Linked DNA regions of Drosophila melanogaster. The protein of the gene in region 2 interacts with the protein of the main gene of each other region in a pairwise test. Each region holds a gene or a part of one and is shown on either strand. Other genes may lie near its edges.

Region 1 (4,455 bases), on a different chromosome or scaffold from region 2:
TTCTTCTGTGATGTAAATGTTTCTATTTAGTCTATAATTTACAACAGAAGTTTTCAAAATCCTAAAAAATGTGCTACGTGAATAGATTTTGCCATTACTTTGCCAATCGCTACCCGAAGAACTTTGTGAGGATAGTGCATCCACTTTCGATAGTTTTCGTCCTGTGCAGCACAGCTTTCTTCTTCTCACTGCAGATGTTTTACATTGCGCCCAAAGTGTTTGGCGACATTGCTTACAAGCTCTACTGGATATTGGTCACCTTCATAACGCACAACATACTTGGTAACATGCTGGCCTGCTATATGACTAGCTCATCGGTAAACACCTTGTCCAAGGACTCCCGATGCCCGAATCCAGAGGATGAGCCCCTGTGGCACTATTGCGAATCGTGTAAAAAGCTGAGATCGCCACGATCCTGGCACTGCGTTTTGTGCAACACCTGCATTTTGAGACGGGACCACCACTGTATATTCACGGGCACTTGCATTGGACACAATAATCAACGCTTTTTCTTCTGGTTCACATTTTATTTAACGCTCGGCTTAGTCACAAGCTTTGCAACATTTTGTATGTTTATCCTGCAGAATGGCGGTAACTTCATGAGTCTCTCGTCTGTGATTTTTAATTTAATAACTAGGACTTTTTTCCAAAATTATACTGGCAATACTTTTGAGACCATTGCCTTCCTCTTGAATATAAGCGCCAGCTATATGCCTGCCTTTATGTTGGCATATCAAATGCAGATTTTAAGCCAAAACTCTACCTACTATAATATTTTTGATTGCACCTACGATCTGGGTTTCCGAAAGAACTGCCAGACAATAATGGGCCAACGAGGACTTTGGACTTTTATATCGCCCTTGCTGAAGAGTCCTTTGCCCCATGACGGTGCACATTGGCAGATGAAGCAGTCTCACTAAATTAATAGACGTATTACTAAATTATTGAAAAATATATATCGATTTTAACAAGCCAATCATAACTTATTTTCATCTAATGTCAAGTTGTGGAAAATACGGTGTTGTATTCAAAATCCTACAATCATGTGTATCGTAAATGATTGGTGCCGCGAATATGCCAATCTCTATCCTAAGAAGGCCGTGAGCATAGGACATCCTTTGTCAGTGATTTTTTTACTGGTGAGCACGGTTTTTTTCTTCACGCTGCAGGTCTTTTATGTGGCCCCCGATGTGCATGATGGTTTTATGTATAAGTTCTTTGTGATATCAGCGATTTTTACAACATACAATATCCTGGGAAACTTGCTGGCCTGCTACCGTACAAGCTCAGCAGTGAAAAGTCTGCCTCAGGAGCGGCAAATTCCGAAACCGGGAACGGAGCACCTGTGGCATTATTGCGATATCTGTCAGAAACTGATGCCTCCACGATCCTGGCACTGTGCACTGTGTAAATGCTGCATTTTGAAGCGAGACCACCACTGCATCTTCGCAGCCACTTGCATCGGACACAATAATCACCGATATTTCTTCTGGCTTACATTCTATTTGGCATTTGGGATTTTCATGAGCATGGCAACCCTATTTGTTGATGTGGGAAGGAGCTTTTATCTTTTGCACAGAATGAAGGCTGGTTTTGGAAACACAGTAAAATCTTTAAGTTACTTTCGGTACGTGTGCTTGATTCTCAATATATTTGCCCTCGGATTCCCTGCCCTCATGTTGAGATTTCAAGTGCAGATTCTAAAGTTAAACTCAACGTACTATCAAATTTCCAGTCGCCATCACGATTTGGGTTTCCGAAATAACTGCCAGCTTATTATGGGTCAGCGAGGACTCTGGACTTTTATATCTCCCTCGCTGAGAAGTCCTTTGCCGCATGATGGAACTCACTGGAAAATTAAGCAATGTTTTTAAAGAAAATTTTTACGTAATGCTTAACTCGTCAACATCAAATCAGAAAACACAAGCTTACACTCTGAATTATATATAATTTTAAAATCGGAAAATTATGTGTTTGATATGGGCCTGCACCAAGTACTTGGCGCGTCGAAATCCAAAGATATTCGTTCGAATCTCCCATCCGACCGCAGTACTATTCGTAATCGTGACAACGATCTTTTTTGTGGTCCTGCAAATGTTTTACGTGGTACCCCAATTGTTTGATGTTCAAGGATTCATGTACAAGCTCGGCTGGCTAGTGGCAATCTTTATAACATATAATATCTTTGGCAATATGCTTGCGTGTCATATCACAAGCACTTCGGTGGAGAGCCTGCCAAAGGATCGGCAAATTCCGGAGCCGGAAGAGGAGCACCAGTGGCATTACTGCGATGTTTGTGAAAAACTAATGCCTCCAAGATCCTGGCACTGTATATTGTGCAAGTGCTGCATTCTGAAGCGGGACCGCCACTGCATTTTCACTGCCAGTTGCGTCGGACACAATAATCAGAGATACTTTTTCTGGTTCACCCTCTTCATGGCTTTGGGAACTGGTGTGGCCTTGGCTACCCATATTATTGCCACCCTAAAGTATTTTAGCTATTCGGACCTGATATTCCTAAATATCCCTAGGGATAACTTACCTCCATTTTGGCTGGTCATCACTCTTATACTAAACACCTACGTATTTGCAGCCCCTGTATCTTCGGTGCTTATGCAATTATCTGTACTTAAAAATAATGGCACTTTGCATAAGTTTTACAGTGATACCTACGATCTGGGCTTGTGGGAGAATTTCAAGCTGATTTTGGGCGGAAAAGGCTTTTGGACTTTCCTCTCACCCACCGTTAAGAGTCCTCTGCCCCATGATGGTGCCCAGTGGAAGATCAAACGGTACGACATCAGCAAGTTTAAAAATTTTAACTATATTGAAACTGACATGATATACCACCTTTTGTATTTTAATCATAGTGTTCAGCATCATTCACCAAAATTACAGTTTCTCCGTGTATCCGATTGATGAAAATTTCTCATGTATTTGTACAGCTTCGGGGCATCATGCAATCACAAGTTCAAATGCAGACCATCAACATCCCAAGACGCGTGGGGGCCATCAAATCCTGGACAGATATCATGGGAGTATCCATAAATGTCTGCATAATCTTGTTTTTCTACTTCTTCGAAGCTTTCTACGTAATGCCACAGTTTTTGGGATTGTTTGGACAGGCGGTTCATTTTTTAGTCACCACTTGGATTGTCTACAATATTCTGGAAAACTTAAGGCTGTGCGTCACGACGTTGAACACTGTGGACTCTTTGCCGCCGCAAATGCAGCAGCCAATGAAAGGTGAAGAGCACCTGTGGCATTTTTGCAAAATATGCCAAAGGAATGTACCGCCAAGGTCCTGGCACTGCAACATCTGTGATGCGTGCATTCTGAAACGCGATCACCACTGCAATTTTGTGGGCAACTGCGTGGGACACAATAATCAGCGATATTTCATATGGTTCTCATTTTACGCGGCCATCGGTAGCGCAGTGGCCTTATTTGATAACTTCATGTTGGCCCATAAGCACGGTGTTGGATTTTTTGATTTAGTCAAAGCCAATTACATTATTTTTAATGCTTACATGAATCCTGGTAGAAAAGAATTAGTGATATTCTATCGAATAGTCAGTGTCTTAGGTGTCAACATATTCGCCGTTCTCTTTCCAGCAGCACTGTTTTGCACCCAAGTAGTGACGGTCATCAAAAACTCAGTAATGCACGATTATTCTGATCGAACCTATGACCTTGGATTAGGGAATAATTTGACCCTGATCCTGGGAAGTCGGCGATTATGGACTTGCCTATCGCCAAATATCAAAAGTCCCCTGCCCCACAATGGCACCCGATGGAAATCGAAGCGTGCCGTCTAGTCCAAATTTGATATCATCTATCTATTCTTGACCATTAAGATTATATTCTATTTCCGTTATGTTGTATTTGTCGCTAAATAAAGAATGTAATAGACTATAAATAACACGGACAATTTTCTTAGTTCAAAAATAAACGTGTAAAGGTGTACAGTGACTTTATATCTATGTATAAAAATTGAATGCAGACAAAACACAAAACAAAAACAATTCGCCTAGATAGAAGTCCTTAATTCAAGCCATAAACGCCCTACATTTGCATATCTCTCCGCCCACGAAAATTGCTGAGAAGTACATCCTGCCCAACGAAATCAACCTCAAATCTGTCCATGGCTTGTGACACCTTCTGCCGCAAGTCGAAAACACTTGTCAAGTGTCGAAAAAAGCTGAAATCCGTTTTGAAAAATGAAAGCGGCTAGAACAACAGCTCGGTCGGTATAGACAATTCATGGGAGTCCAGGGGGCTGGGAAATGGTAGAATTAATGACGGCGCATGCCAGTGACATGCCCCAAAACATGGAATCAAAGTCCATGAGTGGGCGTTTCCGTGTTTCGGTGCATGAAAAATGTTCGAGGTGCGAAATCTGCTGCGAGGTCTAAACAACATAATTGCCAAATAAAAAAGTCGCCGCCGGCTCAA
Region 2 (7,990 bases):
CCGTCATACGCCTCAATCCCGAATACGCAATCAAACAGGTGTCCAACATACACAATCTGCTCTGCGACATTTGCCAGACCATCGAGGAATACTTCACATATCCGCTGCTCGGAATCATAGCCATATCCTTTCTGTTCATTCTCTTTGATGACTTTTACATTTTGGAAGCCATTCTGAATCCCAAACGACTGGATGTCTTTGAGGCCGATGAGTTCTTTGCCTTCTTCCTGATGCAGCTCATCTGGTATATAGTGATCATAGTGCTGATCGTGGAGGGCAGCAGTCGGACTATTTTGCATAGCAGCTATACGGCAGCTATAGTTCACAAGATTCTCAATATCACCGATGATCCAGAACTCAGAGATCGACTTTTCCGTCTGTCCTTGCAGCTGTCGCATCGGAAGGTCCTTTTCACAGCCGCAGGACTTTTTCGTCTGGATCGCACACTGATTTTTACGGTGAACTAATGTTGAAAATAATTAAATATTTTATTTATTTAAGTGGTTAATTTTTGCAGATTACTGGTGCTGCCACGTGCTACCTCATTATCCTAATTCAGTTTCGATTCACACATCACATGGACGACACCAGCTCCAATTCAACAAATAATTTACATTCCATTCATCTCGGCGATTGATTAAAATTATATATACACATTAATCAATTAAATTTAAACATAAAGTGTCCTAACGTACAGATGAAAAATAAATTAAAGTTTTCCAGCTCGCAGTAAATTACATTTTTTATCCGTATTTTTTAAGTTATGATATAATATTTAAAGCAAGTAAACATTTCAATTGCACTTAATCAGTACGTTACGTATTCACGTAACGTAAGCCAATCGACAACAACAAGCTGGTTGCTACGTCACTGACTGTGTTGCTGGCTGACATGAGCTGCTTGAATTTCACTAATGAATTCAAATGGATAATGCTGGCCGAGACCCATTTCGAAGCTAAGGGCTGGCTTGACCCACTTCTGCTTGCTCCACTTCACAACATTGCAACATAATCTGCAGCGGTAACTGACTTTTGGCCACAACTGATAGCTAATCCCAGTTAGCACGCCATGTGAAAGGAGGCAAAAGACTAATCCAATAAGGAAGCCAGCCTGAATACGCACTGAAGCAATGACATTTTATTGTTTTATTGCCTCAGACTGCAATCCATGGGTGTTTTCTATGCCATTTGCTGGGGAGTTGTGCCCCTATGATAGCGAAATAAAACAAAAAAACAGTTGAAACTTTGCTCTGATCGCTTGTCGATTTTCGCAGCTTACAAGTGTGTGGGGTTAGTCGTGAATGTTCGCTGTTCACCCAGTGCTAATCATCACGATTAGCCGCATTGATAAGGCTTCGACAATTTGTTATCAATTCGGATTTCTACTTTACGATTTGTTTACTTTTCCACAAGCCACCCGATTCGTATGCGAAAATTCGCAGTTTTATGAAATCTAAGTGCATAGGAATTTCTTTCGCTGATTGTGATTTTTTGAAATGTGACCCAGTTATATTTGCTATTCGACTGAACAATAGAAAATATGTTGACTCTTTCAGTTCATTCATTTCATTTTTATATCATTTGATATTTATTAGATGTAAATATTTAAAAAATATATATATAAGAAACTAAAATATTTGTAAACGTATTTAACAAAGCAAATGGTTCAATTTAGATTATTTCCAAAAATTTATATAAAGATGGTGACACTGTTGTTTCTGACTACTTCTTCCCTTGGATGCATTCTACAGTTTTAAAGTCGTACTCGCGTTTCAGATTGTATATTGTTTAATTCAAAATTCAATGGCACAACTATGAAAAGCCCAAAGCGCAAATTAACCCAAACACCCACTCGCACACACACATACACACCGTTGCTCGGATACTCGGAGCTCTTCTCAAGCCCAATTCCATATACATTTCCATTTCCATGTGCCGCACTTGACTGACATTCATCGGCCGCCGAGACCGCTCCGCTCTGCTCGCGGTCCGTTCGCTGAGAGTCCGCCGCACAGTCGCATCGAAGCCGCCGGGCGAAGCGGTACCATTTTACGGCATTTCCCAGGGACTCGTGTCCACTTTTCCGGCCTCTGTGCAAAGAAATCATCCACGTGCTCAAGCGTTCTGTCCACATCCTTATCGAATTTCAATTTCCTCGCAAGGAAAATCAAAACGTAAAAAAAAAACCGAGGAGCCTGTGATTTGTTTCTATTTAGCAAATAAAAGTCAAGTGAGTGCCTTTAAAAGAAAATAAAGGAAATTTGGAAAGACAAAAGAAAACTCCTTTCGCAATATCACGTAATTTCTTAGCGCTTCCTGCTTTGTTAACACATTACGTTTTGGCTTGATTTGGCTTAATCGCCGGCAGACTTATTAAGATTACAGGTCATTAAATGAAATTAACTCGACAAGAATGAAAAATAGTCGCCAGACAGAAAACCAAATATATATGTATGTACAGTGGCAATCTATATTATACATTCTTTTTGTGTTTATACTGGCTTTGTGTGTCGTCTCCCTTTTGAAGAAATAAGAGTGCCGGAATGCAAAACAAAGGGCTTCCAGCTTGGACTACGAGGCGACCTGTTGATTGTGCGATTAATGGTCTAAAATTAGTCCCAGGGAAAACAGCTGCTCAGGAAAATATTAAGCATGCGCCCCGTTGACGAATTATGTTTTGTAGCTTGTATTTTTACATAAAACGAAATTGGGCGATGATAAATTATAATGAAAAAATAAAAAAATCTAGTATATGTTTTGGAATTTTCTGCAAAAGAACGGCAGCTGATCTTATTTGGTATATAAATAAAAAACAAAACAGTGGTGTACAAAACACATTGCGTATGCGACCTGTTAACCATTTAAAGTTCAAGATAATTAAATATCAACTTGCTCCCAACTAATTGCAGTTGCGTGTGCCTTTATAAGATAATAAATATCTGAAAAACAAATAATGTAAATACTCTAATAGAAAACCAACGAATGTCTTAAAAATTGCAAATTAAAATATTTATTTAAATTTTCTTTATTGTATGCAATAAAGAGCCAAAGAAACTTCACATTCATTTTCCAGCTATTCGCTAATTGAATAATCAATGCCCAGATTGGCGAATCCTCAATAAATACAGCTGTTCGTTGGCAAATTACTCATGGGACCCGTTTAAATATAGTTCAAGATAATCGAAACTAGCCCCTAATAGCATGTTCATTAAAGTTTCGTTTAAGAATTCAACTCATGCTGGACAATTAAAGTCAAATCAATTAATCAATTCACAATGAATTAATTAAAATCTCAAAGGGCTTAAACAACTTTAGTTAATACTGAAATCTTGGCTACGTAAAAGTGGCATTTAAAGAAATTTTTTGATTTAAAGTTCATTAAAAAGAAACAAAATAACTTTCTGCAGTTCAGGGACCTTTAAAAGTACCAAGCCTATTTACGGTTTAGCCTTTCGCTCTTTATTTATAGTTGTTGGCTTTTTTTTAAATCGTCGTGTGTATTTTCGTACTTGAAGGCTGCGAAAACTCAATTACATGCCGATAGCTCGTTATCAAAAAATACTCGCCCAAGCATATGTGAATTTGCGAACTGCGTCAAATCTGTAAGTTGCGGTTTATCTCAATGGCAGCCTTTGTGGTTAAATGGGGTTGAAAAACATCAGGAAAAACTGAGAAGGTGTTGACTTGTCTCACATCCAGTAGACGATCTTAAAGTATCGGGTTTACTGCGTCTGACTTAGTACTTAGAATTTCCGTTTCATATCAAGTGCACTTGCACTCAGGAAGTTAACGCCAAAAAGGCAGATAATTCTTGCTAGAATGTTTCAGAATGCATTCACTTTCGATGTGGCATCACTTCAGAGTTCAGTGTTCTCGGTGCATTTGCATAGAATATGAATAAAGCGTTCGGAGCATTCATAAAAATGTTAATATAGAAGATCAAGAACCAGAGAGTATGACAAGAGCATGCCTAATTTAATAATGAATCAAATATACCGGTCACTAAAATTTAAGCTTAATTAAACGCAATTATTCAGTGTTGCGGCTTCGAGCTTCAAGAGCGAATATCAAAGAACTGCACTGAAAAAAAAACGTATCTTGCTATAAATATTTTCTCACAAAAAGAGATATTCCTGCTAAAATCTCTTAGATTTCCATTCAAAATCTATCCTCGTTATGTGCGGTATTGCTCTTGATCTAATTGAATTAAGCGAAAAATGCGGGATGAACTCTACGTGATGCACCTGTCCAACGTCCATTTCAATTAAAACTCACTTCAGATTAATTGTGAAGACAATAAAAAGGCGCCGACAAATGCTCGACAGCTATTCATCATTCAAAAGACATAATCATATCAATTTACCAGACACCAACCAGAACACAACTGACACGCTCCCAAATAAGCATATATATATGTATATATGTGTATATATATATATAGATTCCTACTCGTATTCATGTGCAATAACGCAAAGTGTCAAAGACCCAACCATAGCTCACTGCGGGGTCAATTGATAGACTCAATTATGACGATATATCACAGAGATGCGAACCTGTGGCATATGTACGTACATATGCAATATTTATGCTCAAGTGATACATAGTGTTTGGTGATGGGAACTCTGGGCAGATTGGTCAAATAATTGCCAGAGGATGGATTCCCGATAAGCGATAAGTGCAGTGCAGTTCAATTTCCTCAATTGTCTGTGGCTTCCTCATGGGTCTGTTTACCTAAGAGTTCAGAATCCGCTTATCGGACCACAGTGAATGCCCCATATAGGAAAATTCGCCTACCGAATGCGATCATAAAATATTTTATCCACATTCATGCATGTTATTCGTAAACGAAATGGATAATTACACGTATTGCTTGCAATGCAGCTTCAAACTATCATAACTAATTAAAACACATCATCGTTGAGTGTCGGGGGAAGCTTTGTAATTATCACCACTGATAGGGGATTCGACTATAGTTCTGTATATATGTACACATATACTTACCGGACTTAGTATATTCTACATGAGTGTAAACAGCAATTGAAAGTCACGCTTTGCTTAAATTGATTCAATTATATTGATAAAAATAGACGCTATGGGAATTCGTCACTCAATAAAATGCTGCGCTTTTTGCATTTTATTTGTATTCAATTCTTTGTTGATTTCTTTGTTCGCCATACTTATATTAATATGTGACTTGATGCATCTGTTAATAAGAGATTTGATTCTACATTTTTTTTATTCTTTAACTAGCACTGCCTGAAAGTAGGCAACATGAACATGAGTTCACAAAATAATATTGTGTAAAGTTATATTTTAAATTATTGTATTATGATTTGTTCATAATGATTTTATAATAGAAAACTTATCAGTACATTCTCAACTTGCACTACATTTATGAGTTCTTTCATTTGATCCATTTTTATATGTTGGCAAATAGACTATCAATTTATCCATTTTCATTGATGTTTCAATGACTTGCATATCATTACAGCCACCATTAGGTATCCACACACCATCGCCCAGCGTGAGCCATGCCAACACAAAACAGCGCAATGTGGGGCCAAAAAAGTAATCGCAAATTAATTATCGGCATTTTCGGCTTTTGCCTGGGACTATTTGGCATATTGTGCGGCATGTTCTGGGTGGACCTGTTCGATTGGATCATGCACAAGGTAATCCCAGTCATTGACAGAGGTTCAGTTAAGTTCATTTCACTTCACTCCAGTGTTAGCCCGGCCAGCTGCATTCGATTAGTGGCTAAAGCCAATTGAAAGTCAAAAGAAAAACAGCCGCCTCTCAATTGGCGCGAGTCAAAGATCGAGGAAAACTCGTTGAGATTTTCAATTAATACCAATTGCGGCTTCTGTTCTTCGACAGGAAATGGCTCTGGCCCCCGACACACGTGTCTATGAAAATTGGAAGAGTCCGCCAATTGATCTCAGTCTGGACATCTACCTGTACAACTGGACGAATCCGGAGGATTTCGGCAACCTTTCCACAAAGCCCATTCTGGAGCAGGTGGGTCCTTATCGTTTTATCGAGCGACCCGATAAGGTGGACATTCACTGGCATCCAGAAAATGCATCCGTCACTTATCGCAGGCGCAGCTTGTTCTACTTTGATGCGGCGGGCAGTAATGGCAGCCTGGACGATGAGATTACCACGCTTAATGCAGTGGCTCTGGTAAGTATCCTATTCCCTTTTATTACATAATATAACTATAACTATACATTTCCATTTCAGTCTGCAGCCGCCACAGCCAAATATTGGCCACCAGTTAAGCGCTCCCTTGTCGATGTGGGACTAAAGATGTACGGTGCCGAGATGTCTGTCCAAAAATCGATCGATGAGCTGCTCTTCACCGGTTACAATGACGCAATGATCGACGTGGCCATGGCCATGCCCATTTTTGGTGATGAGGTGAAGGTTCCATTCGATAAGTTCGGTTGGTTCTATACGCGCAATGGAAGTGCCGATCTTACCGGAGTTTTTAATGTCTTCACTGGCGCCGATCAACTGGCCAAACTGGGTCAGATGCACTCGTGGAATTACCAGGAGAACACTGGATTCTTTGATTCCTATTGCGGTATGACCAATGGATCCGCCGGGGAGTTCCAGCCACAGCATCTGAAGCCCGGCGATAGTGTTGGTCTATTTACGCCCGATATGTGCCGAACTATTCCGCTGGATTATGTGGAAACTGTGGATATTGAAGGACTGGAAGGTTATAAATTCTCAGGCGGACCACGATCTGTAGATAATGGTGAGTCTTGATAAGAATTGATTAATTGTGAGTACCCATTCTATTAGAGATTTATATTTCAGGCACCCAGTATCCTGAGAACCTTTGTTTTTGTGGTGGCCAATGTGTTCCGTCGGGTGTGATGAACATCAGTTCCTGTCGCTTTGGATCTCCTGTTTTTATGTCCTATCCACACTTTTTCAACGCCGATCCTTACTACCCAGATCAGGTAGAGGGCTTGAGTCCTAACCAGAAGGATCACGAGTTTTATATGGTTGTGCAGCCAAGTACTGGTATTCCCCTGGAGGTGGCTGCCCGATTTCAAGTGAATATGCTCGTGGAGCCAATCCAAGGCATTAGCTTATACACTGGAATACCAAGGATATTTTTCCCACTCGTATGGTTCGAACAGAAAGTAAGAATCACTCCAGATATGGCAGATCAACTGAAGGTGCTGCCCATTGTCATGCTCTCCGGACATATATTCGCCGGAATTTGCTTGATCGTAGGCATAACTCTACTCTGCTGGACTCCGGTTCAGATTCTATTGGCTTCCTGTCGAAATCGTAGATACGATCTGAGGACCAAAACCAAAACGAATGGCCAGTATAAGAGTCGCTCTCAATTCTCCAGTGCTGAGGAACTGAAGTCCAAGGCCTCCACTTTGGTGTGCGAAAAGAGTGTCAAAGGATCTCCGGACAGTTCTCCGCTCCTCGAAAAAGGCCGTAAGCCAACCATTATTAAATCCCAGACGGGTGAAAGTGTGGCCACTGCATCCACAGCCATCAGCGACAATAAGCAGGATTGAACAGAACCGCCACATTCACGCCATTTAGATAGTTAAGCCGTCCTAGTGCTTTAGTCGTAGCTCATAGTTTAGTGACACTCTAAAACACCCAACTGAAAATTGCAAGCATTCCCGTGCCTATGCCAAAGATTAGATAGCCTTCGAAGTCGAAACGTCTGGTGGACTTCGCTTAGCTAACGAATACTCTTTTTACATTCCTTAGTTATTAGATATGTTTTGTATTAAAATGATTTCTTGACCCATGGCTTTCGTGTCAAATAAAATCTTCAACTACAAAGGAAATTATCATTTTAGTAGGTTAAGTGGGTAAGATTGCACATAACTATTTTTATTTCATTACAGCTCACAACGTTTGTTTTGAATTTTAACAACATTTTTTTCATCTTTATTAGTTCAATAACAATTATACAAAATATATAGTATATATGGTATCCACTTTAA
Region 3 (2,913 bases), on a different chromosome or scaffold from region 2:
ATTCGCACTGCCACCAGTTGCTGCCCGTGCTGCTTCTCTCGCTGCTGGCGAATACAGAACTGAGATTTGCGACAGGCTGCGCGAAAAATAAAGCTCAGATTTAAGTTTGGTATTTTTGCCCCTCCCTCCCCTTCCGCACATTCCACCTTTTGAATACCTTCTACTCGTTGCTGTTGTTGCAGTTGTGGGGAATAAACCAGCTCTGCGGCTGCTGGCAAGCAGATTGGCCACTTTCTGGCAGTTCGGCTTAATCACATTCTGAGCGCATTTAATTGTTAACAACATTTTCGATCCAAAACTCGTTTGTTCTTAGCTGCTGTTTTTGTTGCTGTTGCTGTCGGCGCGGAACAGCTGACTTGTGTCGTATGTTAGCTAACATTGAGTTAACATGGAGCTGTAAAAACTGCCAACTTGTTTTGACAACGTCTGCTAGCAACATAACTGTTATAAAGTCTAATGCCGCGTAATTTGAATTTAGATTTCTTATTGGATTTCTTATTGATTTCTAGAGATTTGACATACAGTTTATTTATTAAATGGCCTTCTCTTACATTGTTATGACATTAAAGTCGCTCTGATTATATCAAGTGTTAATATATAGTCATATGGCTGGAATATGACTATTACTTGTGCACCACATTCTCCGTCTCCCCATTTCCGTAATAGTCGTAATCCGAACTGGCGGTGGAAGTGGCCAGCTTGGGATGGTCGGTGGTGGTGACCGTGTTAACGGTTGATCCACTGGATCCAGTGACCACTTCAGGCGCCACAGTGGTTGTCTTCCTCCAACGCAAGCTATAGCGACTGCGAATGAACGGCGGCTTGGTCACCAAAACCGAGTCACCAATCGCTGCATATTGGATATTGTTATTCATTGGGTATCCAAAGACCAAAGTTGTAGCTCACCCATTCCGATGAGGCAACAGCAGAGGATCAGGAGCAGGGCCAGCTTCATTCTGAGTTCCCCTTTCGATGTTAACTGTAACTTTTCCCGGCAACTCGACTGCCTTTATAGTCCCATCAGAGCTGAGATAAACGGCTCCCAATTCCCCGACGAAAGCGAAATCGTCCCCTGGTTTCCCTGGGGAACTGGGGAACATCCATCCAAGTTCAATCACCGCCAGTGCGATTTTATGTTTTTTATTCGTTATCTCTGAATGAACTCTTACTTTAGCTTACGGGTTAAGGCGACATTGTACAATCGAATCGATATTATGCCTAAGCGAAATGGTAATAAATACGTGTGTGGAATTTTGGTCAGCCCGCAATCAGTTGTCCGTTTCCGGTTTGCGTTCCGCTTCCGGTTCCGGTTCCGGTTCCGCGGGCCGTGGACGCTTGGGTCCGGAGGGTATTGGCGGAGGTGGAACATCCGGCACCGCGCTGTTTTTGCTCTCCGAACCGTTGCGAATGTCCTCGAAACTGGGCTGCGCCGGCTCCAGATTCTCCAGGGGAAGTGGCTGTGGCGAAGGTGGACTCTGGACGGGATTCAGTGGCTGTTCCTGCTCCGCGCGCGGCAAAGTGGCTGCCCGCAGGGGATAACCCTGGCTGGGATAGTAGTCGTACGGCGGCAAGTAGTTCTGCCTTATGAAGCCCGCTTGGTCATAGATCACTGGATACTGGCTGTAAGGATACGGTGGCAGGTGCATGGGTTGGCCTCTGAACTGGGAGGGCAGTGGTATCAGCACGGGCGGCAATCCCTGCTGATTCAACGGCACTGGCATCTGCTCCTTGGGCATCTCCTGGCGCTCCACGGTTCCGGGTGGCGACGCCGACTGCGGCTGCTGCTCCACTGGCGCCTCCACCGGTTGTTGGGGTTCATATGGAGCATAGCCAGCGGGATACTGGGCGGCAGATGGCAGAGGGTAAGGGAGCTGTAATATTAAGGTTTCAATAGTTTAAACTACTATATTTCTTTTTTGAGTGCGGTTCATTGCTCTAGTCAGAGATTTCTAGAGTGAGCTTTTTATGATACCTATTATTAAATTAATCATTGTCTTATTATAGCTAGCAGTAATTTAATCTTGCGAAATATTTCGCTAAGTTTATCAGTGTTAGCAACTTAATGAAACCCATAAGCTCACCCTCTCATTTGGCGTCAATCCCGGGACAATCGGTTGGCCGAATCTCACAATCGGCGGACTGTAGAATCCGTAGGGATTGTAGGGTCCAAAGGGGGCGTAGCCCGGCTCGTGAATGGTGGGCTGGATGACCGGATAGGCGCGGCTGGAGGTCAGGTTGTCGTCGGTGGTGATGAGAGCGTTGTAGACCTTGGGCTTCTTCCTCAGGCGACGGGCGGCCAGCGAGGAATCGGTCCACAGAACAAGTCCCAGTAGCAGTAGGAGAATCAAAATGGTGTGCTGCCGAGAATAGAAATCGAAATCGAAGTCGGCGTTTATATATTGTGCATATAGAAGTAGATACAAGTGACCATTGACAGCTGTCCCTGGGTTTGTCACTACTGCTGCTGGATGGCGATCAATGAAAACCATAATCTGTCTAATTGATCGCCATATCGACAATCAATCAATGAATTGTTTGGACTACGCACAATGTGTGCTTGTGCTGGACGGAAGTTGTGCAGCTGGAACTCTGGGTGCTCTACAGGGAAGCTTGTTAGTAATGGCTTTAAAAAGCCAGGTATTACGTGTCTGTATGGACTATATGGAGTCAGAAGAAACCCACGACTTTCAAATACCAGCACTGCAGTCGTCGAAACAATCAACACATGTCAGCCTTTGTTGCGAATTCTCTACACTTCATTAGTTTTGAATTGAAATGTAGATTGTTCCTTTAATTGGATTACGGAGTAGCCGATCGAACCGGACGGCGCTGCTACCTCTTACACTGAGCGAAAAAAGTCTATTCAGAACGTGTACATCGTTCACTTGAAAAGGTTAAGGCATACTTCATTTC
Region 4 (3,656 bases), on a different chromosome or scaffold from region 2:
CTTCTGAAAATTGCACTGGAAAGCTTTTGTTTGTAGAGACCTATTTTTATCACAGAAAAGTTTGAATGAGATAATGTTGCACTAGGTCAATGAAGATTAATTTGGGTAAATGAAAAGGAATACTATTGTGAAACTGATCAAAGCAAAGGATCATCGATTGGAAACTAGATGTACATCAGATTTTTAATCCCACATATGAGGTTTAAATTTCAAATTGATGTAATCACTCACCCTTTTCGCTGAGGTTGGCGTCGTACCAGCCGCAGAACTGATTCTTCTGGTTCCACTCGGACTCGCCGTGGCGCACCATCACGATCTTGTACTTGCCGCCCATTTTAGCTGCGTTGATCACTCTGCGGATAATTGTGTACTCGTTCTTAAGCTGCCGCCTTGCTGCGACTGCAATATGTGGGAATTCTGCTGAAGTTTGACCTACAAGGGAGCCGTCCAAGGTCGCAGCTGTCAGGCCGCGATATTGCCGTTCTGTTGGAAAAACGTAGTGCGCAGATGCGGTGCCTTCTCTGATTGGACTCCGGAGTATGGTCTTATTGGAATAGCGCGTCAAGCTACCTTCAAATGTCCAATTAGTTTGCGCTGTGCAACAGGTTGGCATCCCCCGCGCAGATGTTATCGCTCGCGTTTGTCATCACTATATTCGTGTTTTGGTTTTTAAATTTGGCTGTTTTTAAATTTTGCTCCCATAAATTCCAACTTTTTGTCACTTAAAGCATGTGCGAAAAGGTCACCGCGCGCTGCACTTGGCCCCAGCTGTCGGGCAACGGGCTGGACCAACTGGTGGCCACCCGCTTGTCCGACGAAGACGTCTTTGTGAAGTGAGACAAAGGATTCCACGCCCCGAAACTGGTTTTTATCAAGTAATTTTGAAACCTCCTTTGTCCGCAGGCCCGACTTGGACGACGTGATCGACGAGAATCGCGCCGTGCTGTTTTCCATGCAGTCGGCGGATCCGCCGCCGCCTTGTGAGCTGCGCTTCCAGATCCCGAACCGCTTCAAAATCGCCGCGCTCACCCTGATTTGCAGCGCTCCCAAGGTGGAGCTGTTCATTGGACCCTTGCAGGAGTACTGCGAGACCATCTACGGCACTTGCGTCGACGATGAGGACCCAGAGGTTGCGGTGCGACCCTATCGCTATGACATGGAAATCGACCGATCCGGGATAAATGACATAAACCTGAAGATGCTCACCTCGGCCAGCGAGATCTGCGTTTACGGAGCCCTGCTCCAGGTGGCGCCGAATCCCAACGGCATAACCACCCAGTTGCCCAGGCCAATGGATGCGCAGCGAATCCAAGAGCTGCTGCAAAGGGGTGGCACGAGTCCCTTGAAGAAGGAGGAGCAGGCCGAAAAGTTCGAGCAGTTCATGAGCCTGATGAAGGGCTATTCCCCGCAGGCGAAGGACCAAACCCAAGAGACTGCACCGCCTTCCACCGATGTTGCAATCCTCAAGGAGCACATCGACATGAGATTTGAGAAGCTGACGCTGTTAGTGTCTAAGAGACTGGACAACTTCGAGGCCCAGCAGACGGAAAAGTTAAACAAAATTATTGCCTTGCTGGAAAAGGAAAAATAAGTAATATACCATTAATTTGCTAATCTGTAATTTCTTTCTTAGCATTGTCATCATTGTATTTTGTAATTGTTGTAAAAGACTGTTGGTGCGAATATTTCGAATGTGATTAGGCAACATATTTAAGTTTGGTTTTGAATGTAATGTACATTAAATAAAATATTCTTCTCTTAAAATCATAAATTTTTTCTTTTTCGCTTGGAATATTTGAATTTCAACCACTTTCGATAGACCAACATCAGCTGTGCCCGAACCGAACTTTATCGATAACCACCTGTTGCATTTGTTTACGTTTTGTATGGCCGAAGAGAAAGTAAGTTGGCTTAAAAGCTCGTCATGGCCCAGATCGTAGGTTAAAGTTGGTGGGAATCGTCTACTTTCGTTGCGCGAGTTCATGAATTTATCCATCCGCGCTATTTCGGCCATCTGCGGCGTTTTCTTGGGCTGCTGCAGTGGCGTCGTCTTCTTGGAGCTCCTGGTTAAACTGGATCCCGGCGCTGGAAACCTTATAACTGGCGCCCAGTTTGCATTTATTGCCCTCGAGGGCTTCATCTTCACCTCGAAGTTTGGCCTGGCCCAGAGAGTGATCAGCCTGCGCGACTATGCGCTCCTCGTGGCCATGTTTTTCCTGACCAGCGTATGCAACAACTACGTGTTCAAGTTCAAAGTTCCAATGACACTGCACATGATCATACGCGGCGGTTCGCTGATCTCCAACATGTGCCTGTGCACGTTGATCCTGAAGAGGAGTTACCGGTTGAGTCAGTACATATCGGTGCTCATGATCAGCGTGGGCATTTTCGTCTGCACATATTTCTCCAGTCCGGATTTGGTGGGTAAGATGGAGAATTTGGATAGTGGCGCCGAGGCGGATACGTTCTGGTGGCTGTTGGGCGTGGCACTCTTGGTGCTGGCTCTATTTGTTTCCTCCTACATGGGAATTACACAGGAGTTGCTGTATCGACGTCATGGCAAGTGCGCCAGGGAAGCGTTGTATTACACCCACCTGTTGCCGCTGCCCGCCTTCCTGCTCATGCATGACGACATACGGACGCACTGGCTTTTGGCGTTCACGGGCGAGTCCTACCAGTTGCCCCTCCTGGGCGTGGCAGTGCCCCTAATCCTGCTATACTTATTGGGCAACGTGCTTGCGCAGCATTTGTGCATCAGCTCCGTTTACACCCTGACCACGGAGTGCAGCTCGCTGACGGTGACTCTGATCCTCACACTCCGCAAGTTCATCTCGCTGGTCTTTTCGATCGTATACTTCCGAAATCCCTTCACCTGGTGGCACTGGCTGGGCACCGCGCTAGTCTTTGTGGGCACCTTGATGTTTGCAAATGTGATCAGAGTTCCGAAATGAAAAAACCAGGCTGTGAAACAGGAATAGGCTTTCCAAAACTTTTTTGTGACGAACAATGTTATAATTCCATTTACATTTACAATTACATTTAAGTACAAATTAAAATTACAAGACTCATAATTGTTATGAAAAGAAGGCATACATTAAAAGTAATGAAAAACGTGATGCTCTGGACGATCTGCCAAGGGCTTTCTCTCTTTGGCGACTCTGAATTGGTAAAACACGCGACATAAATATTACACATAAATGCATTGGTGGCCCAACCCATGCAGTTGCAGCTGCGAAATCTAATACTGCTGCAGCCTTGATCCAGCCAAGCCGCAGAATCCGTTCCTTACGCTTGCGCCTCGTTCTCCAGCCACCGCACGATCGACTTGTAGTTCTTGTTCATCCAGTCGACGCTGGTCTCGATGTGCTCCACGATCTGTTGCACGGGTCTGTCGTAGTCCCAGTGGGCGTCCTTCACGAAGTTCTCAAATTCGCCCAGCTGGAACTTGGAGTTGAAGCCCTTCGTGGCGAACTTGAACAGCGTGTGGATGCTGGACATCTGTGAGCCCATGCTGGAAAAAATGCAAACCCTTTAGTAATGCACGGAATAAAGCGACAATTTCGCCACTTACTAGGTCTTGATCTCCTGCCAGTTGTTGCGCAGAAAATCAAAGGCTATGTTCTGGCCCACTACCGTGGTGGAAACTGCTGCGAATA

What was found.
Region 1: the proteins of santa-maria (region 2) and CG17198 interact in a two-hybrid assay, tested with the Drosophila melanogaster proteins (one large-scale study listed by BioGRID).
Region 3: the proteins of santa-maria (region 2) and CG34296 interact in a two-hybrid assay, tested with the Drosophila melanogaster proteins (one large-scale study listed by BioGRID).
Region 4: the proteins of santa-maria (region 2) and CG14511 interact in a two-hybrid assay, tested with the Drosophila melanogaster proteins (one large-scale study listed by BioGRID).

What each region holds. Positions count from the first base shown.
Region 1 is NT_033777.3:25,772,795-25,777,249, reverse strand, and holds CG17198 (uncharacterized protein), read left to right. Parts: upstream 1-1,880; 5' UTR 1,881-1,968; coding exon of another isoform or gene 1,969-2,792; intron 2,793-2,850; exon of another isoform or gene 2,851-2,870; coding exon of another isoform or gene 2,871-2,918; coding exon 2,919-3,818; 3' UTR 3,819-3,916; downstream 3,917-4,455. Other genes in the region: CG17195 (uncharacterized protein), read left to right, coding at 69-920; CG17196 (uncharacterized protein), read left to right, coding at 1,044-1,874; CG17197 (uncharacterized protein), read left to right, coding at 1,969-2,792, 2,871-2,919.
Region 2 is NT_033779.5:7,445,188-7,453,177, reverse strand, and holds santa-maria (scavenger receptor acting in neural tissue and majority of rhodopsin is absent), read left to right. Parts: upstream 1-1,933; 5' UTR 1,934-2,229; exon of another isoform or gene 2,230-5,490; 5' UTR 5,491-5,530; coding exon 5,531-5,671; intron 5,672-5,876; coding exon 5,877-6,182; intron 6,183-6,242; coding exon 6,243-6,762; intron 6,763-6,824; coding exon 6,825-7,549; 3' UTR 7,550-7,823; downstream 7,824-7,990. Other genes in the region: Gr28a (gustatory receptor 28a), read left to right, coding at 1-458, 518-637.
Region 3 is NT_033777.3:29,720,601-29,723,513, reverse strand, and holds CG34296 (uncharacterized protein), read right to left. Parts: upstream 977-2,913; 5' UTR 956-976; coding exon 907-955; intron 851-906; coding exon 624-850; 3' UTR 501-623; downstream 1-500. Other genes in the region: Pcd (pterin-4a-carbinolamine dehydratase), read right to left, coding at 1-76, 158-285; CG15506 (uncharacterized protein), read right to left, coding at 1,269-1,871, 2,082-2,357.
Region 4 is NT_033777.3:29,145,128-29,148,783, reverse strand, and holds CG14511 (uncharacterized protein), read left to right. Parts: upstream 1-1,890; 5' UTR 1,891-1,982; coding exon 1,983-2,951; 3' UTR 2,952-3,106; downstream 3,107-3,656. Other genes in the region: Pglym78 (phosphoglyceromutase 78), read right to left, coding at 232-334; CG11882 (uncharacterized protein), read left to right, coding at 730-833, 904-1,591; superdeath (suppressor of ER stress-induced death), read right to left, coding at 3,286-3,511, 3,572-3,656.